Kluyveromyces lactis: one gene and its partners. The main gene of each other region encodes a partner of the protein of the gene in region 7 in a complex. Links are inferred from orthologs where the notes say so. Each region holds a gene or a part of one and is shown on either strand. Other genes may lie near its edges.

Region 1 (3,378 bases), about 200 kb from region 7:
TGTTGCCGTTACAACTACAAGTACCGTCGTGGCAACCACAGCCGAAGGTACCAACACTGCAAACTCTAAAACGGAGTCAAATAAATCTTCATCATTGTCTAATGGTGCTATCGCTGGTATTGTTGTGGGTGTTGTTTTGGGTGTGTTACTGATCGCAGCAATTATCATTTTCTTCATCTGGCAACAGCGAAAGAAAAGTAAACGGTCAGACTTCGAGGAAAGTAAGCATTACCAACCTTATTCGTTTGGTCAAGAAGAAGACATCGTAGTCCCACCAGTTACCGGAGGTGGATTTGGCGCTGCTGCTACTTTACCAAACTCTCATTCAGCATCATCATCCTCTGATAGATCTGGTGTAAGTCAAAATAGGGAGAAAAGATTGGATAATAATGGAAACGAAATCAGTGATTCGCAAATCGTTAGTCCGTTTGGAGAAACTATGGATCAACCAGACCTAACACAACCTCCTGTACGTCCGACAATGGGAAATCCTAGATTCAGCAATGGTTCTTTACCAGATGTAACTCAACAAAGGCGACCGCTAAGAATCGCCAATCCAGATGAGCTGGATGATGAGGATACAGAATTCAATTCGATCATCGAAAATCTCAGGGGAGATTGATCCTGATACAATATAACATCATCTTTTTAACACATTTCGCTAAGATAATAGCATGATATACCCAATATCATCCCCTTGTTGTTGTCAAACAAAACAAACGCCAAAAGGAAATATTCCAAATATAAAACATCAACTAAGGCCCACAATAAGCCATGTTCCATACTCACTACTGATACTTGATACCCCTAATGAAAACTATCAACTGAGGATCAGTTAATTGTCTAACACTATAAACAAGACAAGTCACAAAATATATCGAAACGATTTATGTTATACTGATAAGTTGGGCTTTCACATATGTACATATATAACGTTATAATACTCATTTAATTTCTTCACATTTTACTTCAAGGTATCTTTATAATGGTTAATTGTCATGTTTACTGTCGGGAATTATTGTGCTACATTTTCATCTAGGGTAATTGTTTAAGGGATCCAAAAAAATGCTTCCAACCAGAGTCGAACTGATGATCTCCACATTACTAGTGTGGCGCCTTACCAACTTGGCCATAGAAGCTGTTTCTTGTCATAAAAAGAATTTACCACTATATACTCCTACGAGATTATTGCCTGCTACCAATTCTTTTCTGGTGGACCTAACCTATTTTGAACTGAGGAATACGCAGTTTATAATGTTACAGCTACATTTTTGAAAAACGTGATGCTAAAATAATAGTAGGTTTACTGAAATAGTTTCGGCTGTTTCAATTTGTCAATCTGCTAGGCGCATCTAAACACTTACATCAGCATTGCATACCCTCTTATCGTCTCCAAGCTCCCTCTGTGTCCTAGCGAATCTCAGCATTTTAAAAGGTTACCCGAATACCTAATTTCGAAAATTTTTTAGAATGAATATGGTTAACTTACAAGAAATTACTGGAGATGATTTGGATATTCAATGAATCTACTGGATATCTACTATTATCGATATTTAATAGCCCTATCTCGAGGTCTCACAATACTAGCACGATGTTTTCGATCAACAAAGTGGTGAATCCCTTTGGATCACTTATACAGAGATCATTTGTACGCCAAATCACGATCCTTGGTGGTTTAAAACCTGGTGAAGGCTCTAAGAAGAACTACAAAAGATTGGGTAGAGGTCCATCCAGTGGCAAAGGTAAGACTGCTGGTAGAGGTCAAAAGGGTCAAAAGGCCCGTGGTTATGTAAAATCATGGTTTGAAGGTGGTCAAACCCCAATCTTCAAATTGTTCCCAAAGCTAGGGTTCACCAACGTAACATCACTAAAATTGAAAGAATTAAACCTTGATAGAATAACGTGGTTCCACCAAAAGGGTCGCCTACATTTGGAGCCAGGTGAAACCTTGACGATGAAAAAGATGAAAGAAATCGGTTTGGTTACCGGCCCGATCAAAGATGGTATTAAGATTCTAGGTGATGGTAAATTCTCTTATAATCTTCCAATCAAGATTGAAGCTACTAGAGCTTCACAGGATGCAATTGAGGCAATCGAACATGCAGGCGGAAGTTTCACTGCTCGTTATTTCAACCGTCTTGGTCTAAGAGCCCATTTATCACCACATTGGTTCCTAGAAAAGTACGGAAGAGTTCCTCTACAAGCTAGACCCACAAAGAGGAAGGATATTGAATATTACTGTAACGAAGAAAAGAGAGGTTATTTGATTATGGAAAATGACCCATACTATCAACTTTTGCAGAAATCCAAAGATGAAGGCGGTAAAAATTTGGTTGCTCGGAAGACCAAGAAGTCCAAGCTTGAGTTGCAATTAGAGCAACTTGAGAACGATTTTGCTCCTGCTTCTCCAAATTCTGAAATTAAATCAAACTGAACATCATATAGCAATATAGAAATGCCCTGTATATAATACACATCATTCAACGCCATTTCTCCAGATTTATACACCATATCAATCAAATTGATATCTGTATTCACAAGTTGTAGCAACTTTTGTCTATTTAATGCTCTAAAGTCTAAAAATATAAGAATGAGCTTGTCTCACTTTTACACATCGTTTTGTGGAGTAGAAGACTCTGTGTTTTTGTTGTCCAACAATCTTTCTTCGAGAACCTGTAGGGCTAACTTTTTCCTTCTTTCTTCCGCTTCAGAGCCTTCAACAGGCTTAGCACCCCTCTTTTGAGCCAAAATGTTAGCTTGTTCGATATCGTATACTCTAAACGGAGTTGCAATACGCCAATCAACAATAAACTTCTGGTAAAGGTAATCAAATATTGGCTCAAGTACTGGTTTGACTAAATCCGGGAAGAAATATATCAATTGGAATGTCTCAGAGGCATCTCCTACCACTTCAAATTCAGCATCCTCAGCCATCGAAGCAGGTAGCCTCTGATAGAATCTCAAGTAGAAATAACAGGTGAAAAAAGTGATCCAAATTGATAATAACTGAGAGAAGTGGTGGAACCACAGAAGTTGCACAAACGAAAGCACAAGTAGAGTAAATATTGGCAGGAGTTTAAATCTGAAATTCTTGGAAATGAAAGGTAGATTCTTAGTCTCGAAAATGGTAGTTTCTGGGAATAACTGTTTGTAGATAATAGGGAACCCCACCAAAATTGTATAATTACCATCCAATGGTAAATCCAACCTTATTGCTGACGAAAACATTGATAAAATTATTGTAATTAGAACGACAATTAAGTTCGTAATGGTACCCAAGATTAGAACAAATTTGGCCAATTCTCTAGGGCTTTGCCAGAACCTTTCAATGAATGAACCACCTATAAGCAAATTAAAGAAGTTTAGCAAAAACTTCCA
Region 2 (3,642 bases), on a different chromosome or scaffold from region 7:
ACAAAACCAATTGCACGCTCAATTGAAATTAGTGGAACAAGCCAAGGCAGAATACGCCAAGTTGCACCCACCAAAGAAGGAAATTAAGGCTGCTACTGCTGGTTCTTCTGCCAAGATTGATTTGGAGGACCCTAACTTGGATTATGCTTCGGTCATCTTGAGCGCTGTTGAATCCTTGAAGCAATAAGCAACAGGACTTATGAAATAAGGAGAGGTGTGTTTAATTCTTCTTTTTTCTCTTTTGTGTAACAAGGGAAAGGAACTTGTATGCATAACTCCGAGCTGAAGCATAATAGAAAAATAAAAGGTTGTATTCTCTGTTTGAATTCTGGTAGTCAACAAGAAATGATGACAACAAGAGTTATATCTGCTTTCCTCGACTAAGAACGAAAGACCTCACGAATCCTTTTTTTTGTTACGATTAGATTTACAGCCAATACAATAACATATGAAGAAGAAACAGCCAAAAAAAAAGAAGATTCTATATATAGCCTCTAGGAAAATATTCAATCAGAGGCAGTCCAAAAAAACAGACGCACATGAACGCACGCACCATACACCGTATTATTACTATATAATTTATTATGTTACCGGGAATAAATGTTAACTAATGATCATATTCTTAATAGATTCGAACAAGCTTTTTAGTTTTTTTTATGATTTGCGTATGTTGCATTGATTTTCTACATTGCATATTATTTACATGAGGTATGAGATATTATTCAGACCACCTGAGGTTGTTGAAAAGTGTGTAATCATATATATCGCGAGAGAGACGAGGAGGAAATAAACTCTTTCTGGAAACTTTCATTTTTTTTTTCATACAACAGATCTACGAACTCTATGGAACACTCTCCCTTCTGGTAATCCGTATTTCTCTCTAATGTTTGCCACGTTAGAATCCCATTCTGATCTCCAAACATGAGCACCAACCGGGTCCAAGTTGTGGGAACGAACAAATTCTCTAATATCGAAGTTTTCTCTATCGACTGGTTCAGGGGATTCCAAATCACCATTCTGTCTGAATACCCATACAGAGAACCTTTGCTTGCCAACATTTTTCTCAGGTACTGGAGGAATGTAATCTGCAAGAATCTGCGATTCATTGTATTTTCTTGGATCTACCACGTTGTCGTTATAGTCTATCTTTAAATTAGTCAAACCGAACGCCAAAGTCGTCTTGAATGTATCATTCAACACATCCGGTTCATCTGGATTCACAATTACCACAGTGTATTTTTGCTTTTCGAAGTCGATACCGTTCTCGTACTCTTGAATCTTAATTGTTGGAACCATCGAAGTCGTGTTGGAGGACAAAATTTCACCAGGTTCAACCCATTTGTTCACACCAGTACTGAATGGGAAACGTAAATTAACCTGTACTCTTGGTTGTAAAGTAGGTAACGTATCGGGGATTACACTCAAAGTCTCTAGTCTTTGCATTAACAACATTTTTTCGTAGGATTCCCAATGCTTCAGCCCCAAACGCCTGTACACTGGAACAGCATAATCTATCACTCTAGTATCGTTCTCTAACTTGTCATGATACTGAAAATTGTATTGGACCTCTGGGTTATGCAATTCAGCCTCTGTTTCTAACTTAGCACGTACCTTGGCATCAGTCTCATTTTCTAGTTGCGAATACTTCTCTTCAGCGCGCTTACTCATAAACTCATAACTCAAGCGGAACATCTCATCAATATGTTCAGGAGAGGTATACTTCAAACGGTTCATCCTCCGCTTCAAAGACGGTGGACCTCGTCTTCTAACGTCATCGCTGTCGCCTTGAAAGATGTATTTCTTAATCGATTCTGATGCTAAACCAAGCGACTTGGATCTCTTAGAAAAGTCCGACCATACCCCGGTTTTCTCTAAACATTTGGCACTGCTGTGCAACCCTCTACGCAACATTCTCCAATTCGAGTTGTTAGTCTCTGAAACACCCTCCAATGGGATCCTACAACTGATTATTCATGTATCTTCATTGTCCGTTCATACTTAAAACTCATCTGAATCGTTCGAAATCGATTTTTCACCAAAAAATTTTAATGTGTTTCAGTCCGGGTAACAGAAGATCGTGCCTCTCGCTCCAAGTGGAAGTTCAGAGATCAATAACTGGTAAGCTTTGCCTTTGAGACTGCCATTCGGTTTCATATGTTGCAAATGACGCTCTTCTGATCCAGCGAACCCATCATATCCATCTTTCTTTGTATATTTTCTTCTTCCCTTTCCTATATGCGGATTATAATGATCATTTATGTTTGAAACGACGAATCTTATATGAGAATGCTCATCGCGACATTGTTTCAGATCTGTAAAGACAAGATGCCTCAACTTTTTCCTGGTATAAAGACCCTTTGCCAATCAGCATTGTAGGTTTACTTCTCATTCCCTGTATTATCCTGTATAATATTCAAAAGCTTATTAAATCAAATATGAACGGTTCAGAACCGAATTCTACAGAGTTAAGGCACGATGTCGAGGCAGTTACCATACTAATATCTAAACTTCAAGTTTACTCGCAGTTTGATACACAAACTCCAACAGAGAGAGCTTTTCCCTCTATGTTCAGCTCCGATTCTGATATAAGCGACTCAATTGACTCTGATGTCGGAGATCAGCTAAAGAGACGGTCTTCTTCAATACTGCGCAAAATGTTTAATAGGTCAAAGAAACTACTGCCAAAACTACACAAGAGGTGAAACGTATGAGCAGTTGTGCTGCTGGATAATGGAGGAGCTTCTCTTTTCATACTACTCCGTCTTATATCAAAATTTCTACGCTCACTTCTGAGCTTTTCAGCAGGGAAGGTAGAAAAAAATTTTGACACATTGACGAAAACAGATTGATAACACTTAAGACCTTTGATAAAGCTTTGAATGACACCTACTCTTTGATTTCATATTGGATTTTTCACTATATAAGACAACTGGGGTGATATATCCAGAGAACCAATTAGGTATTGGAATAGTTTATACCTGATTCACTGAAAGATGGCTGACGTTAAGATTCAAACTCTACCAACCGACTTTAGGGCCAACCATTATGAGATTGAATTGAGTGAGTTAGATGCTGAGCACAATTCATTTATCGGATCCGTGCGTATTATTATGTCCACTGTTAATGCCAATGACATGATTTCATTGAATATGAGGGACATTGAGATCGTTTCTGCGGTGGTTGAACTGAAAGAGGGGTCTGTGTCTTTGGGAATGAAGGACCATAGTTTCGATTTAGAGAACGATGTTGTTTCCTTGAAATTTCCGGAGAGTATATCTGATGATGAATTCGTGTTGAAGATCGATTATAAGGGTATGATTCAGACTAATATGTCTGGATTCTACCGTTCAGATTATACTGATTTTGTTACCGGTGAAAATAAGGTAATGTTTTCCACTCAGTTCGAGGCAACGGATGCTCGCAGAGCATTCCCATGTTTCGATGAACCCTCTTTGAAGGCAACCTTTGACATATGCATTATCGCGCATGAGAAATACACTGTGTTAGCTAATATGCCTCTGAAGTGCACGAAGAAATTGACAGAATCAGACCAAATTTCTTATAGATTCCATACTACACCATTAATGTCTACTTATCTAGTGGCATGGGCCGTGGGAGAATACGACTACATTGAATCTGAGA
Region 3 (3,459 bases), on a different chromosome or scaffold from region 7:
GATTGTCTCACAACCGCACAAACCAGAACTGGACAGAGGCCCAGCATACTCTGTCACTGAGCAAGATCGGTCTAGTGGTGCATGTTCCCAGCCTAGGAGCAGAAGGTGTCGGTAGGAGAAGCAGAATCAGGGGGATGGAAATTCTGTCGGGGAGGAGAAACTGGAAAGAACCGAGGCGTCGGCACACCTAATGCCCTGTCTTTCCTTAGGCACGGAGAAAACTCAGCCCAAAGTCTGAAAAACGTTGGATGGGTTTCCTAATCAGGAAACTTGAAGGAAAGGAAAAATTAAACTATTATTCGGTTATAGGCGCATTGAAAATAATAAAATGCACGGGTGTATAAGGCTTCCGACAACAGTCCGAAATGGTTGCGTCTGTTTGTCCTCGATTTGGATTTTACAGCTTGATGATGGCCACAGCATTGGTCAATTGTCTTTACAAATACGGATGTCGCTAACTTAGATAAACAGCCGTGTAGCTATTTTCATTTTATTTGTGACGTTAATATACACACATACATATATATACAAGTTGTGGATGAGTTGGTGCAATGTGGAGTTTATTATTCGAAGCTTTTATTTTAACTCCCGTCTGATGATCAGTATCTCGTTCCATAATCAAACAACGTGAGTAACAGCCAGGTATTCTAAAGCTTCCAATTCAATAAAGATTCTGTGAGCCTTAAGTAGATCGTTGACATCAACAAATTCTTTTTGGACGATGTTAACTTTATCTTGGAATCTTTCTGTAAATGAAAATAATCCTGGCCTTGGTTCGTTAATAACGAATAATAGCTTCTTGTTCTGTAGCTCATAGTGCTTTAGGAATTTTTCGAACACGATATCGCCATCTTCTGAGCCCTCCCCGATGGGAAGAATTTCCAATTCATTTAGATCAGCCTGGCTTGTTTCGGAGATTCCGTCACCACTTCCGATGACGAAGACGTTACCGTTTCTGTATTGATGACTTAGTGCGTTATTGAATGCTAAAGAGTACACTTTCTTTGGGAGCGCTGTGGTATAATCATTTGGTGCAGTTCTTGCTAGAGCTCTACCACCGTTATGCCTTATTGGTGAATTAGCGTCACCAGCTCTGGCCATACCAGATCCCTTTTGTGGTAAAATCTTTCTTCTCGAATAACCAACATCACTTCTGCCTGGGGGGTTAGAAGACCCAACACGTTTACTGTCATTTTCGTAAACAACAGCACGCCATAGTAAGTCTCTTCTCAATGGAGCATCAAATACTGAGGTTGGCACTGGTGCAAATGTCAATGGTTCTAATGATGGGAATGAACGAACCGTTGCTAAGGTATATTTTGGCGGTAGACTAGCATTAGGAAGGGGTTTGTTGGAAACGTAACGGACCTGTAGAGAATAGGGAAAAGAGTAACAAAAAATTACGAGCAATAGTTAGTAAATCGATCTTCTAAAAGTAGGTGATATAACTGCTTAATGCGGAAGGATATCATCATGCAGTTTGAGGAAAGCCCGCGCTTTACCATTGCAACAGTGATGAAAATGGGTTTGACATACGTTTTTGCACAAATTCAAACCTTGTCTCTTGGAAAACATGGCTGATTCTGATACACTGACTTAATGTCTCGATACAAAGGGGATCAATTGGACACTCCTATGTCTGATCACCGCAAACAAATCAATCATCTTTAGTATTCAACCTATTTCATATTCAGATTTTTGATTATCGAAAATTTGTCTACCATGTAAAATATCCGGGTAATGTTAAATTGCCCGAATTAACGATCAACAAAACTGTCATCTTGTATGAAAGCATACAACGACATTAAGGGTCGCAGTTTATGGTAGTCCCGAATGTCATATGTAAGCGGATTCAATTTGCAGTAAAAAAAAATCCGATTTACGCTAGCAGAACAACAATTGTACTTGTCCTTTTGTTATTCATCGATGGTTATTTAAATGGAGGACTTTATTCTGACTGATTATATGAAAAAGAAATCAATATAACCAAAAAAATTCAAAAGCTTCAAGGCTCATCTCATCTCATCTCAGTATTATTTAGCATGAACAAAGCCAGTAGTCGTTTCCTTTGTCAGTAAGCGAGCGATACGAGTCTCCGTGATTACACTTTAATCAATACTTAACATAAAACTACCCAGAGTAAGGCGATGTCATCCAGAACAAGATATTACTTGGAACAATGTATTCCAGAAGTTGATGACTTAGTGCAGAAGAAGTTATTCACTAAGAATGAAGTAAACAAAATTATGAAGAAAAGGACTGATTTTGAACACAGATTGAGTTCGAGAGGTTCAAGTATAAGTGATTACATCAGATATATTGAATACGAGAAGAATGTCGATGCATTAAGAATGAAACGTGTTAAACGTATCTTGCAATCGAACAAATCAAATAGTATTTCGGATTTTACCATACAGCAGAGGATTCTCTATATTTTCCAAAGAGGCTGCAATAAGTTCCCAAAAAAATTGAAATTTTGGTCTTTATATTTGAATCATTTAAAATCAAAGGGTACAAATGCCTCTTATAAAAAGATTCAAAACGTCTACAATCAATTGCTCAAATTACATCCAACAAACGTTGACGTTTGGATATCATGTGCTAAATATGAATACGAATTGCACGCAAACTTCAAGAGCTGTAGAAATGTTTTTCAAACTGGTCTTAGATTTAATCCAGATGCTTCTAAACTCTGGTACGAGTACGTTAAATTCGAACTGAATTTCGTGACAAAATTGTTAAATAGAAGAAAAGTGATGAATTTAATCAACGAAAGGGAACAAGAGCTAGATATGCTACAACAGCAAGAGGAAGGAAGAAACTCCAGTAATGTAACAGGTCTGGAAGAAACTGCAGATGACGAAGCATACTTTGACAAAGACGGAATTCAACTTCCAAGTACTGGTGACAAGATGAAAGATAAACTAAACGAGTTACCAGAAGCCGATATGAATATGCTTGGATCAGAAGAAACTAATCCAGCACTACGTGGTGATGTCGCATTGGTTATATTCGATATCGCAATGAAGAATCTGGGCACATCTTTTGTCAAGAAACATCAAGGATACTACGCCGTTACCAATTCGCAAGTCGATGAAGAGCTCAGCAGAAACGTTATGTCCTACCTGTTTGATAGATGCCTCGAGTATATCAACTTATTTTCGGAATTTCAAGATTTAAAAAGAGAATATCTGATAAATCACGTATTGCAATGGCTAAAGGACGAACATTATAATATTTCCCTTGAGAAAAGTATGCCAGAAAAATATGTGGAATTATTATTGCATGATGTTACATTAAATATCAAATTCATGCCTGCCGGCGAATTAAACATCGACAGTCTCCAATTGTCCTTCAAAAAGTATTCTGCATACATCAGCAAATTAGATGAGACGAATGCCAAACAACTTACTACATTATATTCTGGTTATTTGACCCAACATCTATTATCCAATATGG
Region 4 (2,796 bases), on a different chromosome or scaffold from region 7:
TTCAAGTACTCCTTGGTATAAATCTTTCTCCATAGTTCCTCATCGTAGGTGTACGCGTAAAGGATCCTAGAACTACATCCGAGGTTCTGCAAGTCATTTGGATCATCGATATATGCGAGTATTTCGATTATAAGATCTTCTGGTAGCACTGACAGAGAGCCTAACAGCTTTTTCCTAAGCTTTCTAGTTTCCTGAGGATCTGCACCCTCTAATAAAGAATTCCCGCTAGGTTTTACCCCTAACGGATGCGTTGGGATGCTGGTAAATACAGGAATCCTGTAATTTGGCACCTTTTTCACTTTCTTGAACTGTCGTGTCGTTGTCATACTGTATGGAAAATTGTCAGCCTTATTGTCAATTTAAAGTGAAACAAAACAAAACAACCAATATCAGACCAAACTGTTAAACTGATGCCAGTTTTCAGGTCCTGCTTAATCCTGTATCGTGTATTCGCACCTCATCTCATCTCATCGCTACTTCAAATCTTTTCACTCATGATTTTTTTCTTTTCAATCTGATCTTTTCTCGACTGATTTTCACGCCTTTAGGCCTGGCATCAAGCCTGCTCTAGGAAAATTTTTGTATGTGATTTGATTCTATGTAGAGTTGATTGTGATGAGATAATGAATCTAACTATTACTACAGGAGGTGAATGCTGACACTGAAATAACCTGCTAAAATCTGGGACGTGTATTCGACATATATATACAAGGTGATGGGGGGATTGAACTTGATAAAAGGTTGTTTTTTTTTAGTCATTTCCGCCGATGTGTTATTTTGTACTGGATTCAATGAGAAGAGGGTTTAATGTGATCCTTCTTTCTTCTCAGATCTCTCCACTGGCAGAGTTTTCATACGTCTCTCCAAATAAGCATCCTTGTCCTTCAGTTTCTTTGTGTATTCAGTTTCTTTTCTACCAGGATACAAGATACGCTTGTCCAATTCAGACAACTCTTGTTCTTGAATAGGCTCCACTTGTTCAACGTTAGTGTGAGCCTTCCAGATGTGACGGATTTCACCCACACAATGCATACATAGCGTATGTGCCTTCTTGTAATGCCCACATGAAGGGCATTTGTTCAAATGGTTGATCATTTTCAGCTGTTTGTCTCCAGGCGCATATAACTTTTGTCTCTTCTTCTGATGCGACACTTTCTTCTTGGGCACAGCTAGAAGGATCCCGTTATTCGTAAAGTAATCCGCTTGAGGTGAAGACTTTTCACGTTGGTTTCTTTCAAGCAATTCCAGCAGTTTCTGTGGCAATGCAGTACCAGCTGCTGGAGTGCTCCAACGAGGCAATATTGATGTCGCTGTTTCCAGCAACACTCTGCTAAAAGATTCCGTTACAGCTCCAAAAGACATCCTCTAATTATTTTCGCTGCTGGTATGATACTATGATGAAGAGGAGAAAGGATAAGTTCAATCGATAGGGACAGATACTAGTTTCTCTAGGTCGCTCGTCTAACTCTGTTTGAACTTCGTCAATTCAAATTGGTATTGACGAATTGGATTATAAGAAAGAATTTTCAACATTACCCTGATTTGGTGATGATCTGTGTCCCTTTTTCGATTTCGATGAAAAAGACGAAAAATCACAAAAACTAAAAATGGAACTCGAAACGAAATAAGTGTGTCAACAAAATATAAGTAAGGAATCAGATCTTGTATTCTTTAGAATAAGTAAGATTGTGATTACTTTTTTTTGACGTTTCTGTGGTTAATTGCTACTCATTGTTTGAATTTTTGTTATTGCGGTTAATTGTTTTTATAACTTAGAGGTTTTTCATTATTTTAACTTCCAAACACTAAAACACGTAAAGCTTTGATCATTTGGATTTGACTTATATACATCTCTACTACGCGAAAGGAATTATTAAAGGTAAAATACACGCATAAACAAAAACAATGGCATCTAGTACTGCTGCAGCTGGTATGACTTCTTCTTCTGATGGGTTGGCTTTGGTAAATCCATCTTCTTATGTTGGGTTTGATTCGATTACTTCACAGATTGAACATCGTTTGTTGAAGAGAGGATTTCAATTCAACGTTATGGTCGTTGGACATTCTGGTCTGGGTAAGAGTACTTTGATCAACACTTTGTTTGCATCTCACTTGGTTGATTCTTCTACTGGTAAGGACATCACTCAGGAACCAATTAGTAAGACCACCGAGATCAAGGTTTCAACACATTCTTTATTGGAAGACCGTGTACGTTTGAACGTGAACGTGATTGACACTCCAGGTTTTGGTGACCAGATAAATAACGACAAAGTTTGGGAACCTATTGTCAAGTACATCAAGGAGCAACACTCTCAATATTTACGTAAAGAGTTGACTGCTCAACGTGAAAGACACATTGTAGACACTCGAGTACATGCAGTGTTATATTTCATCCAACCTAACGGTAAGGGTCTAACAGAACTTGACGTTGCTGCTTTGAAGAGATTGACAGAAATCGCTAATGTTATCCCGGTGATCGCTAAAGCTGATACTTTGACGTTGAATGAGAGAGCTAACTTCAGAAACATCTTACAAGAAGAATTTAAAAAGTACAATTTCAGAATCTATCCATATGATTTAGACGATCTGACCGATGAAGAAGTGGAACTGAATAAAAGTATAAGATCTATTATTCCATTTGCCGTTGTAGGATCTGAAAAGGAGATTACAGTGAACGGTGAACTAGTAAGAGGAAGAAAAACTCGTTGGGGTGCCATCAATGTCGAAGACATCAACCAATGTGAGTTCGTATATTTAAGAGAATTTTTGATCAGGACACACTTGCAAGATTTGATT
Region 5 (2,674 bases), about 460 kb from region 7:
ATGATAAGTGGTCTGAACCATTAAAAACCCCCATGATAGATAAATATCATGAAATCAAAGAAGAATGGAGACGTGAGGAAACGAACCACGGTTCCAGTAGTTTAAACAACAGTTCAATGACTACACAGAATGTTACATTTGCATGGAGTTCAAATGCTCATCGACCGGAGCTGACCGCACCAAAGAAGCCTTTGGAACCGCATTCCAATAAGAAATCAACAAATGAAATACTACGGAGTAAAGCAATGAAAAGCGCTCATGAATTAAGAAGTAAGCAAATTCTGCTCAATAAACTGCGGGATAAAAATGATAGAAACAATCTGCCTTCACAGGATGGTGATGATGTCAAGCCGAAATTTAAAATGGATCCCTTGGAACCATTTGTCGCCAAAGCTTTACCGAGAGAGAAGAAGAAGCGACCAAAGGAGAAAAGGAAGAGCAAATTTTGGTTTTGGGGATCCCTTACCCATCATACTGACGAAGGAAACCACAGAGACAAAGCTAGGTCGCCAGAGCTTGAAGATTATAAAATTGGTGTTGTATCACCGAATTCGCGGTCCCCCACGTTATCGATTCCTTTCTCTGATCCCGATAACACTCAGACTATTACCAATAACGCAGTATCGGACAACATTAACCATCACCTGTCGCTAATAGACCTCGACGATGACGAGGAACACTTAAAGTGTTCAACGCCACCGTTAATACTGTGATACGTACTTTTTTTAGGCCTAATATATTTATTTCTCATCCTATTTAAATATCATCTACATTAGCACTGTAACTATATACCTTTTTTTGAGCCGGCGTTATTATAACTTGTTCTCTGCGTACCGGGGTAGCCACGATTGCCTCTGGTATGTGGTTGGTGCTCATATGACCCACTTGATTGCAATTTTCTGCTTGCTCCTCTCGTAGTGCCTTGTCTTCCTTAAGAACATCTGTATACGTTGGAGGATCCTCTGGCAAGGAACTTTTCTTCTCATCAGGATATTGCTTCTGATCGTCTTGAGACATCTTTCCGTAAGTTTGAGTTTAACTGTTTACGACTCCGAATGTTGGTCCAAGGGAAATCTCAACTCTTCGAACAGCGTCGGTTCTGATTGCCATTAAAATATATTGTCGTTTCTATACATTATAAATGGTTCAAACAGGGTCCTTGATGTGCAGATTTCCCTTTAAAACCTTACAAATGGCGTAATGCTATATCATCATATATCAGATGTAAAGATGAAAAGAAGGAAAATATGATATCTAAGGTATTCCAGGCTTTGTTAGATTCAATTTTTCATTATGTGAGGTGGCATAGCAGGTAATCAAGACAAGTCGGAAGTTAATCACCTACCAGCTAGTCGAAGGGCAGCTACTCCCTGTGTACTTGAACCTTTTTAGGTCACGTGCAAAAGAGTTTAGCAGTCAAAATAATCAACAGTTCCGGGTAACAGACATTTGTTTGTTCAACATCAGTAACTTTGAAAAATTTTGAAGATTCGATGAGGTTTCAGTGAGTTTATTGTTAGCTTTGACAATAAATTGAATGACGATTAAATACGGGTTGATTTTCTGCGATAAGTTCGTGTGATAGCATACAGCTTCTCAGCCAACCGAAAGGATCATTAATACTCCATCCACTATGCTAGCGAGTGCAGCATCTCGTAAGAATGCCTTGAAGGTAGTGCAACCCTCTTTGAACTTTGTTCGTGGGAAAAGAACTAAATCGAAAGGTGGATTAAATCCTCAAGCGCAAAGAATCATTACACAACTCTCTGTTATGTCTGCTAGCAGGAAACAGCCAAAACTTTTAAAACTTTCCCGTGAAGATTTGATCAAACATGATATGATTCAAGCTTGTTGGGCGCAATATCAAAGGGAACTGAGGGAAAAGAGAACAAATCTCTTGAAACTACAGTACGAGAATATAGAAGAAGCTATGAACTTATTAGAACAGGTAGATCCCGAACTATATGAAATGGCTAACGCTGAAGAATCAGGTAAGAGGGTCCCATTGGAACTAAGGGTACCTACTCAATACCCACCGAACAATGTGTGGTATTATGATTACAAGAAAAAGGATTGAATAGTTCGTTTCCAGGCATAATGCATTAAAGGTAGAGCACGAATCATATTTCACATTATCTCTTCTAGGACACTTTTTTATCGGTACACCAAACGTGGGTTGCTCGAGAAACAACTTGTGTGATCTACAGGCAAGACCAAGTGCCACGCAATAAAATATAATGGAGATGTTGCATTATATATTGTAATGAAAGAGTTAGATAGAAGAAATGTAAACAAACCATGTAAATAAGCAATTCTACGAAATGATTATCGGCAGAATGAAGCTCTTAAGCTTTTCAAAGGGGACTTTAACCGTATTCCAAAGTGACAGTGTACTTCAGAAAAAAACATGGCTTCTGTGTATACATCGGTTCGAATATGAATAATGGTCTTGTTTACAAATAGCATTATTCATTTGACTTAGATGATTTTAGCTTGAATGGGTACATGGTTAGCAAAATGGCATCACCATACATATTTTCTCCAGAATGATTTGCCTGCGGTGTTTTCAACGTTTGGAAGTAGCAGCCACGACAAAATCATTAGTTGAAACAACCCAAGAACAATAGGGAAGAGAACCCATGTACCTGTGCGATCAGAAATAAGCCCAACTACT
Region 6 (2,866 bases), on a different chromosome or scaffold from region 7:
TCTACCTTTCATGGTGAGTTATTTTGTCTCACATTATTCTATGTCATGACAAGTTAATAAAAGAAGATCTATTTTTTATCATTGATTATTGTAACAGTTTCATTGCATCGTGGCGCAACCATCCACGAGATCAAAAATGCGGGCGTGCTGCCTTACCTGTTATGGTTGTTTTTTAATGTCAGCTTATTTCAATTTTTTTTCAATAGAGACGGCTGGTACGGCTTTCATAACATTATACCACTACTTTTTTGAACCAATCAAGAACCTTCATAAATTATCAAAAATGCGGACCAAAATTGCTTGTAATCTTTTCATTTCTAATAGAGCAACTTGCTCACTCAATGCAGCTTTGTTTTAGATAGAGCGTACAAATCCTTTCTTATGCTTATCCTTTCTCATGATTTTCCTTTCTTATTGGATGCACTTGATGAGGTATAAGGACTAGCATAATCCGCCTTTTTATTTTACAGATTATACAATTATATATCCACCCGACATGCTAATGATACAAATAACTTTACCTAGAGAAGCTGGACCTGCATAGAGTACCTTGCATTATGGTTCAACTCTGGAGCTCTTTCAACTTTGAATCTTCCTTGTCTTTGGGTTTGCATTGATATCGAGCATTACTTACTATATGTTTGAATTGCTTCTATGTACATGTTTCATTTTATGAAAATTCAGCAAGTGTTTGATAGTGTGAATGTGCTCATTTCTTCTTTCTCATACTTGCTTCCAAATCTCCGACATCCAATCTGGTGTTTCTGATGTAATAATGTTTACTTCTGCGTCTCTTACCATCCGCTCTTCTAATCAAATCAATTCTCTCTACCAATGGTGAGAAGATTGGCACTCTCATTTCCACACAGGTTTTATAAATATAATCTCTTAATAGAATGGATGTGTCTTGTACTATTGGCTTACGGTCTACCGATAGCACATATCCAGTAAAACTATCGTAGTTGCATTTCTTGGAATCGTAAACTACACGAAGAACATCACCTGCACGTAGACGATTTGGGTTTTTCTTTGAAACCATCTCTGTTTTTACACCAGTTGGGTCAAGTTGTTTTAGATCATGATCAGCTAGAGTCTTCACTACTAATGGGGAGGATATTCTTTCAACTGGTGGGTAAACTGGAATAATCTTTCTTCCACTCTTAGCTGGAAGTTGATAACTTCTAACAGATTGTCTGATAACGGTAGGTAGTAGTCTCTTTAACATTGTATGGGACTAATATAGTTTTGGAATGGGAACTTGATCTGACGGGTAGTAAAGGCTTAAACTCAAATATAAACTGCGCTTCAGTGCTTTCTTAACTCTTAGGTACTTATGTTTCCATCTTTTTTAACCAAAATTTTCGAATGTTCTTTCTATGGAAAACTACAACATAGGTTTGATGATCATTTTAAACGTTTTGATCATGGCAGATGCAATAGACACGGAAAATGGTGAATGAATGATAACGTTTCAGTCCATGTTTGCTGATTGTATTAAGTGCGTATCTACTAATTCTATATATGCAAGACCATACTAAAACCTAGGTCTTCTCTTTCTACCCGTAAACTTCGAGTCGAGAGCTACCTTTCTACCTCTTTTTTTCATCACCTCCTTCTTTCTGTTGATGTAATCCTTACTTGATTCAACTAGTTTCTTTTTACGCTCTCTCTTTACCATTAGATCTGCATCCATCTTAACACCATCCAAGTTGACTTGTTCATTCTGTTCTGTAGATCCGGAGCTTAATACCAAGTAGTACTTCTTGTTCTTTTTGGACTCGGGATCATCAATGACAAGGCCACCAGAGAATCCAGCTACTTTTGCTGCTCCCAAGATTTGGTCTATTTGATCATCATTCTTTGGATAGAATTGTGCTACAAATTTTCCTCCTTTCTTCAAACTAGCAAATAGTGTATTGAAGAACCTCATGAGCCTTCTCTTTGGATCGTTGTACGATGTGTCCGCATTACATAACCATTGAATCACAGATATACTAATTGCCGCATCAAATACACCTGCTCTAAATGGAATACCTTGACCTATATCGTGTAACATAAGATCACCTTCAACTTCTCTTTCTAGCGCTTCAGCTAACATACTAGGAGAAATGTCTAATCCACACCATATATGTCCTTCTTCAGTGATGATTTCACCACTTAAACCAGACCCACACCCAATATCCAAGATATATGATGTATGTGGCAGGTTGAGAAGTTCTAAGGCCCGAAGTGTCATTTTAGCTTGAATATGTTGCACTCTTGTGGAGCCACTATACTTCTTAGATTCACTGTCATTGTAAAACACTTCTGGTGGTGCCAAATCTTCTGGACGTGACATTTCGATCTCAAACTTCTTGTAATTGTTATCCTATTATACTTTATTCCCGTCAGTTGATTAACAGAGCATATCAATGCAAACAGCTTGCTCAAGTAGCCATTGTTAGTTCGTAAATGTTTGGCGATGACCGAGATGAGCTTTAAAATTTTGAATCAAACGTTCGGAAAAGAAACTTGGTTGTAGTAAAGAATGTGGTCACGTGCAATAGGGAACGTATCAAGCTAGTAGATATAAGATTACAAGTCCTTACTATCACATTCAGTATAGCGCCTAATGCTCTTTTACTGTTGTATTGATCAGTATAATCGGCTAAGTTTTGGAATATTTCGCATTATGTGGCATATTTGTTAAATTACCGTTGTTTGCGTAAATATACATAAGGGATGATCGATAATTTGAATGTTAAGATAAAGTGAAGTTATGGTAAACTGAGAATGTTAAATAACAACATCAGAAGCGCATTGGAAGCTGTAGTTTTGCAAGTGTACGAACTATTAGAATAACGAGCGAGTTCTGCTTTTTTTTTAA
Region 7 (3,288 bases):
ACTGATTCTATCTGATCAGTGTTGACATCAACGTCTGCTTTTCTTCTTATTAAAATTTCTTCTTTATAATCATTAAGCTCCTTCAAAGCACTTTCATGAGCAATGGTCAAGCTTTCTAATTCAAATATCAGTGAATCATTGCGTTGCTCTGCCTCATCTCGTCCTAAAGTTAATTTCTCCAATTGTTCCTCGAGAAATTGCACTTTTTCAAGCTCTTTTGATCTCAATCCCAGCTCCTTTTCAAACGAAATACATTTGTCATTAACTGACTTGAGTTTAACTTCCAATCTTCCAATGATCTTTTTCAATCGTTCGGGATCTGATGAGTTAGAATTCGTAGTATCAGGATCCTGAAATTGTTGCGAGTTCGGTGCAGAATTTTTATAGATACCCTCTCTTCTACTGAATATACCATACATCCGACCTTTTCTACCCTCACTGAGTTCAAAGTACCTGACTCCCTTGACGCTACCATCGTTCTTCCCTAAGGGTTCATCTAACTCAACACCGATCCAAATCCCCGCTGCAAACTGCGTCTCGCCTATAAACCGTACAGTTCCTGCCAGGCTGCGTAGCACTACCCTATCTCCTAATTCCAGATCCATTGTTTCATTTTAGAACTAAAGAGTAGTTGATCTGGCAGTACTGTAAGGTATTCATCAGTTATTGCCTTCATTTCTTTCAGGATATGTGTTTATGTTCCTTAAACTCAATATTGTCAAAATAATCATAAACATGAAATCTTTAAACATATTTTAAAGAAGTTTCACGAAGTTTACGCGTGCAGCAAAAGAGGTAAATTAAGAGGTTCGATTGACTTACAGCCAAGACTCACAACGGCAAGAAATCTAACCCAATTCGGATCATAGAAACATGAATAACAGAAGGCCCAGTGGACGAGTAGCGAAATCCGTGGATAAATCCACTTTACAAAAGGAATTATTAGAAGAACAGAAACAAGAAATATACGAGGCGTTCTCACTCTTTGATATGAACAATGATGGATATCTCGACTATCATGAATTCAAAGTCGCTCTAAGGGCATTGGGTTTTGAACTCAGTAAAGGAGACATATTAGAACTTATCGATAGGTATGATGCAGACGGACGCCGGTTAATACAATACGAGGATTTTTACCTGGTAGTAGGAGAAAAAATATTGCAAAGAGACCCATTGGATGAAATTAAACGTGCCTTCAGGCTATTCGACGATGATAACACGGGCAAGATCTCATTGAAGAATTTGAAACGTGTAGCTCACGAACTAGGTGAAAACCTTACAGACGAAGAACTACGTGCCATGATTGATGAGTTTGATCTTGACGATGACGGAGAGATCAATGAAGAAGAGTTCATTGCTATATGCACTGACAATTAGTGCTTCACGACCATTTCCATTGCCACAGCTGGAGCCCTGTGCCGCATGTATATCTCACCTTGTATATCCTATGTAACATCAAGCTATAATACTAAATCAAATGCGAAGAATCTGATAGTCTAATTCGGATCACGTGCTTTCATTTTTCCCTTCCAAAAAAATTTGTCGATGAAAAACTTGAAGGAACGGAATCAAGAAAGACATATGTATCAATATGGTACTATGGAATGAACCACAAATGGTTTATGTTCTGTGAAAAGGACGGTGGTATTCGATACTAGAATAAAATAGATCAGCGGGTATGTCTTCATATAAACATTTATCGAAGGCTGGTGCCCGTTTTTTGGAGCAAGTTCAAGCGAAGAACTCTAATATTGCGAAACAATTTGCCAAGTATGAAGGTTTGACGATGCCAGAGTTCTTGAAACCATCGTTGCCTCGTGTCGAAGAATCCGAGAAGTATAAGAGTGTAAAGCAATGGAAATATATGCCAGGTGATAGAGTGGTGATAGTAAATGGAAAGTTTAAGGGCAATGTTTGTGCCATTACGCAGCACGACGTGCATACAAACGGGTATATTTTGGATGAGAATGGACCCACCAACACTGTTCCTGTGCCCAAGCAATTTTGGCAACAGGGGCAGAACAGTCATATGGTGAGTTTCCCTGTCCCCGTGAGCCAAGCGGACATCAAACTAGTCGCTGATCTCGATGATCCAGAGACTCCAGGTGTGGCTAAGACTGTTGCTGTTCGTGACATCGAATTCAAGGGTTCGTATTATGATTCAGATTACAAGAAAATTATGCCATATAGGGTTGTTGTTGGTGAGAACAATATGGTTGTTCCATGGCCTAAGCCGGAGTTCAAGCCAGATGGTGCATTGGCTACGCGTTCTGAAATTGCACGTCAACAAACTTTCTGGGTTGAAAGCGTAGTAAAAAATCCTGTTCCAGAAGCAGCATTGTCAACCATCCGTAACCCTAAGTCGAAATACAGAAGAGGTACCTTGACAACGAAGGAAATATCAAGATTGGTGGCTCCAAAAATGCCTCTAACGGAAGCAAAGAAAAGATACATCGAACAAAGAAAAGAATTGGCAGCATTGCCAAAACGTAAATTGACTGATGAAGATCAAGAATTGATTGGTGACAAGGTCTACCAACACTTCAAGAAATCTTTCGAATTACAATAAGAATAAATAATAGTTTTGGCTAGCACTTAACTGCCATTCGTATCCACGCTACTTGTACATAGATCATAATATCATACTTCATCGCACTTTTATCTGACTTTTTTTTTTACTACATGTTTATTTTGAATGGAAATCTATACGTAAAGGTCATTACTTGTAGTAACAGACCTCAACAATTTATGATTATAGTAATGACTAAATGATTAGATAACTGTTACTAGTTCATAACAAATGGATGAGTGCGGTCCAATATATGTTATAGAATGGAAGGAAAGTCCAGGCGATCAATGGACTATCTCAGATAAATCGGGGTTTACGACTCATTTATTCAAATTAAATGAAGACGCCAACAAAGATATTGTGTACTGTAAACATTGCCGAAAGCAGTTCATCGGCAAGAACAGAGATTTAATTGGTTTCCATATGAACAAAATCCATCCACAAATCACAACTGGAATGACTTATAATCAGTATCTGCAGATTTTCAAACCCACTTATGTACCAAACGCCCATGGTGACGAGAAAAACAGGGAGAACTCGTTCAGCATAGGTCTCAGACCGTACGTTTTGTGTCCAGAACGATTGCCTGAAGTACTCTACTTTGACGACATAGCGACCATTATACATGATAAGTTCCCTAAATCTGAAGAACATTTTTTAGTTTTGCCAAGAAGTCATAAGATCAGCAATTCTCATCCCACCACAATCGACAATGGCAT

The links.
Region 1: MRPL40 (region 7) and MRPL10 share a complex: the UniProt entries of both Saccharomyces cerevisiae proteins name them as parts of the mitochondrial large ribosomal subunit. The link is inferred for Kluyveromyces lactis from reciprocal best matches to the Saccharomyces cerevisiae genes MRPL40 and MRPL10.
Region 2: MRPL40 (region 7) and MRPL35 share a complex: the UniProt entries of both Saccharomyces cerevisiae proteins name them as parts of the mitochondrial large ribosomal subunit. The link is inferred for Kluyveromyces lactis from reciprocal best matches to the Saccharomyces cerevisiae genes MRPL40 and MRPL35.
Region 3: MRPL40 (region 7) and YML6 share a complex: the UniProt entries of both Saccharomyces cerevisiae proteins name them as parts of the mitochondrial large ribosomal subunit. The link is inferred for Kluyveromyces lactis from reciprocal best matches to the Saccharomyces cerevisiae genes MRPL40 and YML6.
Region 4: MRPL40 (region 7) and MRPL32 share a complex: the UniProt entries of both Saccharomyces cerevisiae proteins name them as parts of the mitochondrial large ribosomal subunit. The link is inferred for Kluyveromyces lactis from reciprocal best matches to the Saccharomyces cerevisiae genes MRPL40 and MRPL32.
Region 5: MRPL40 (region 7) and MRPL28 share a complex: the UniProt entries of both Saccharomyces cerevisiae proteins name them as parts of the mitochondrial large ribosomal subunit. The link is inferred for Kluyveromyces lactis from reciprocal best matches to the Saccharomyces cerevisiae genes MRPL40 and MRPL28.
Region 6: MRPL40 (region 7) and IMG1 share a complex: the UniProt entries of both Saccharomyces cerevisiae proteins name them as parts of the mitochondrial large ribosomal subunit. The link is inferred for Kluyveromyces lactis from reciprocal best matches to the Saccharomyces cerevisiae genes MRPL40 and IMG1.

Annotation. Positions count from the first base shown.
Region 1 is NC_006039.1:1,033,001-1,036,378, reverse strand, and holds MRPL10 (mitochondrial 54S ribosomal protein uL15m), read left to right. Parts: upstream 1-1,504; coding exon 1,505-2,434; downstream 2,435-3,378. Other genes in the region: WSC2 (Wsc2p), read left to right, coding at 1-622; KLLA0_C12111g (uncharacterized protein), read right to left, coding at 2,608-3,378. UniProt on the Saccharomyces cerevisiae protein: Component of the mitochondrial ribosome (mitoribosome), a dedicated translation machinery responsible for the synthesis of mitochondrial genome-encoded proteins, including at least some of the essential transmembrane subunits of the mitochondrial respiratory chain.
Region 2 is NC_006040.1:1,119,214-1,122,855, reverse strand, and holds MRPL35 (mitochondrial 54S ribosomal protein mL38), read right to left. Parts: upstream 1,912-3,642; coding exon 820-1,911; downstream 1-819. Other genes in the region: TIM11 (F1F0 ATP synthase subunit e), read left to right, coding at 1-187; KLLA0_D13079g (uncharacterized protein), read left to right, coding at 2,436-2,702; KLLA0_D13068g (M1 family metallopeptidase), read left to right, coding at 2,994-3,642. UniProt on the Saccharomyces cerevisiae protein: Component of the mitochondrial ribosome (mitoribosome), a dedicated translation machinery responsible for the synthesis of mitochondrial genome-encoded proteins, including at least some of the essential transmembrane subunits of the mitochondrial respiratory chain.
Region 3 is NC_006038.1:119,980-123,438, reverse strand, and holds YML6 (mitochondrial 54S ribosomal protein uL4m), read right to left. Parts: upstream 1,576-3,459; coding exon 1,537-1,575; intron 1,369-1,536; coding exon 619-1,368; downstream 1-618. Other genes in the region: snoRNA-binding rRNA-processing protein UTP6, read left to right, coding at 2,148-3,459. UniProt on the Saccharomyces cerevisiae protein: Component of the mitochondrial ribosome (mitoribosome), a dedicated translation machinery responsible for the synthesis of mitochondrial genome-encoded proteins, including at least some of the essential transmembrane subunits of the mitochondrial respiratory chain.
Region 4 is NC_006042.1:1,182,326-1,185,121, forward strand, and holds MRPL32 (mitochondrial 54S ribosomal protein bL32m), read right to left. Parts: upstream 1,363-2,796; coding exon 805-1,362; downstream 1-804. Other genes in the region: KLLA0_F12804g (uncharacterized protein), read right to left, coding at 1-326; septin CDC10, read left to right, coding at 1,906-2,796. UniProt on the Saccharomyces cerevisiae protein: Component of the mitochondrial ribosome (mitoribosome), a dedicated translation machinery responsible for the synthesis of mitochondrial genome-encoded proteins, including at least some of the essential transmembrane subunits of the mitochondrial respiratory chain.
Region 5 is NC_006039.1:1,299,564-1,302,237, forward strand, and holds MRPL28 (mitochondrial 54S ribosomal protein mL40), read left to right. Parts: upstream 1-1,633; coding exon 1,634-2,077; downstream 2,078-2,674. Other genes in the region: LFT1 (Lft1p), read left to right, coding at 1-713; KLLA0_C14916g (uncharacterized protein), read right to left, coding at 757-1,017; KLLA0_C14949g (MFS transporter), read right to left, coding at 2,524-2,674. UniProt on the Saccharomyces cerevisiae protein: Component of the mitochondrial ribosome (mitoribosome), a dedicated translation machinery responsible for the synthesis of mitochondrial genome-encoded proteins, including at least some of the essential transmembrane subunits of the mitochondrial respiratory chain.
Region 6 is NC_006042.1:571,368-574,233, reverse strand, and holds IMG1 (mitochondrial 54S ribosomal protein bL19m), read right to left. Parts: upstream 1,226-2,866; coding exon 710-1,225; downstream 1-709. Other genes in the region: BUD23 (18S rRNA (guanine1575-N7)-methyltransferase), read right to left, coding at 1,535-2,338. UniProt on the Saccharomyces cerevisiae protein: Component of the mitochondrial ribosome (mitoribosome), a dedicated translation machinery responsible for the synthesis of mitochondrial genome-encoded proteins, including at least some of the essential transmembrane subunits of the mitochondrial respiratory chain.
Region 7 is NC_006039.1:834,946-838,233, reverse strand, and holds MRPL40 (mitochondrial 54S ribosomal protein uL24m), read left to right. Parts: upstream 1-1,678; coding exon 1,679-2,569; downstream 2,570-3,288. Other genes in the region: NIP100 (Nip100p), read right to left, coding at 1-605; CDC31 (centrin), read left to right, coding at 874-1,377; HNT3 (DNA 5'-adenosine monophosphate hydrolase), read left to right, coding at 2,801-3,288. UniProt on the Saccharomyces cerevisiae protein: Component of the mitochondrial ribosome (mitoribosome), a dedicated translation machinery responsible for the synthesis of mitochondrial genome-encoded proteins, including at least some of the essential transmembrane subunits of the mitochondrial respiratory chain.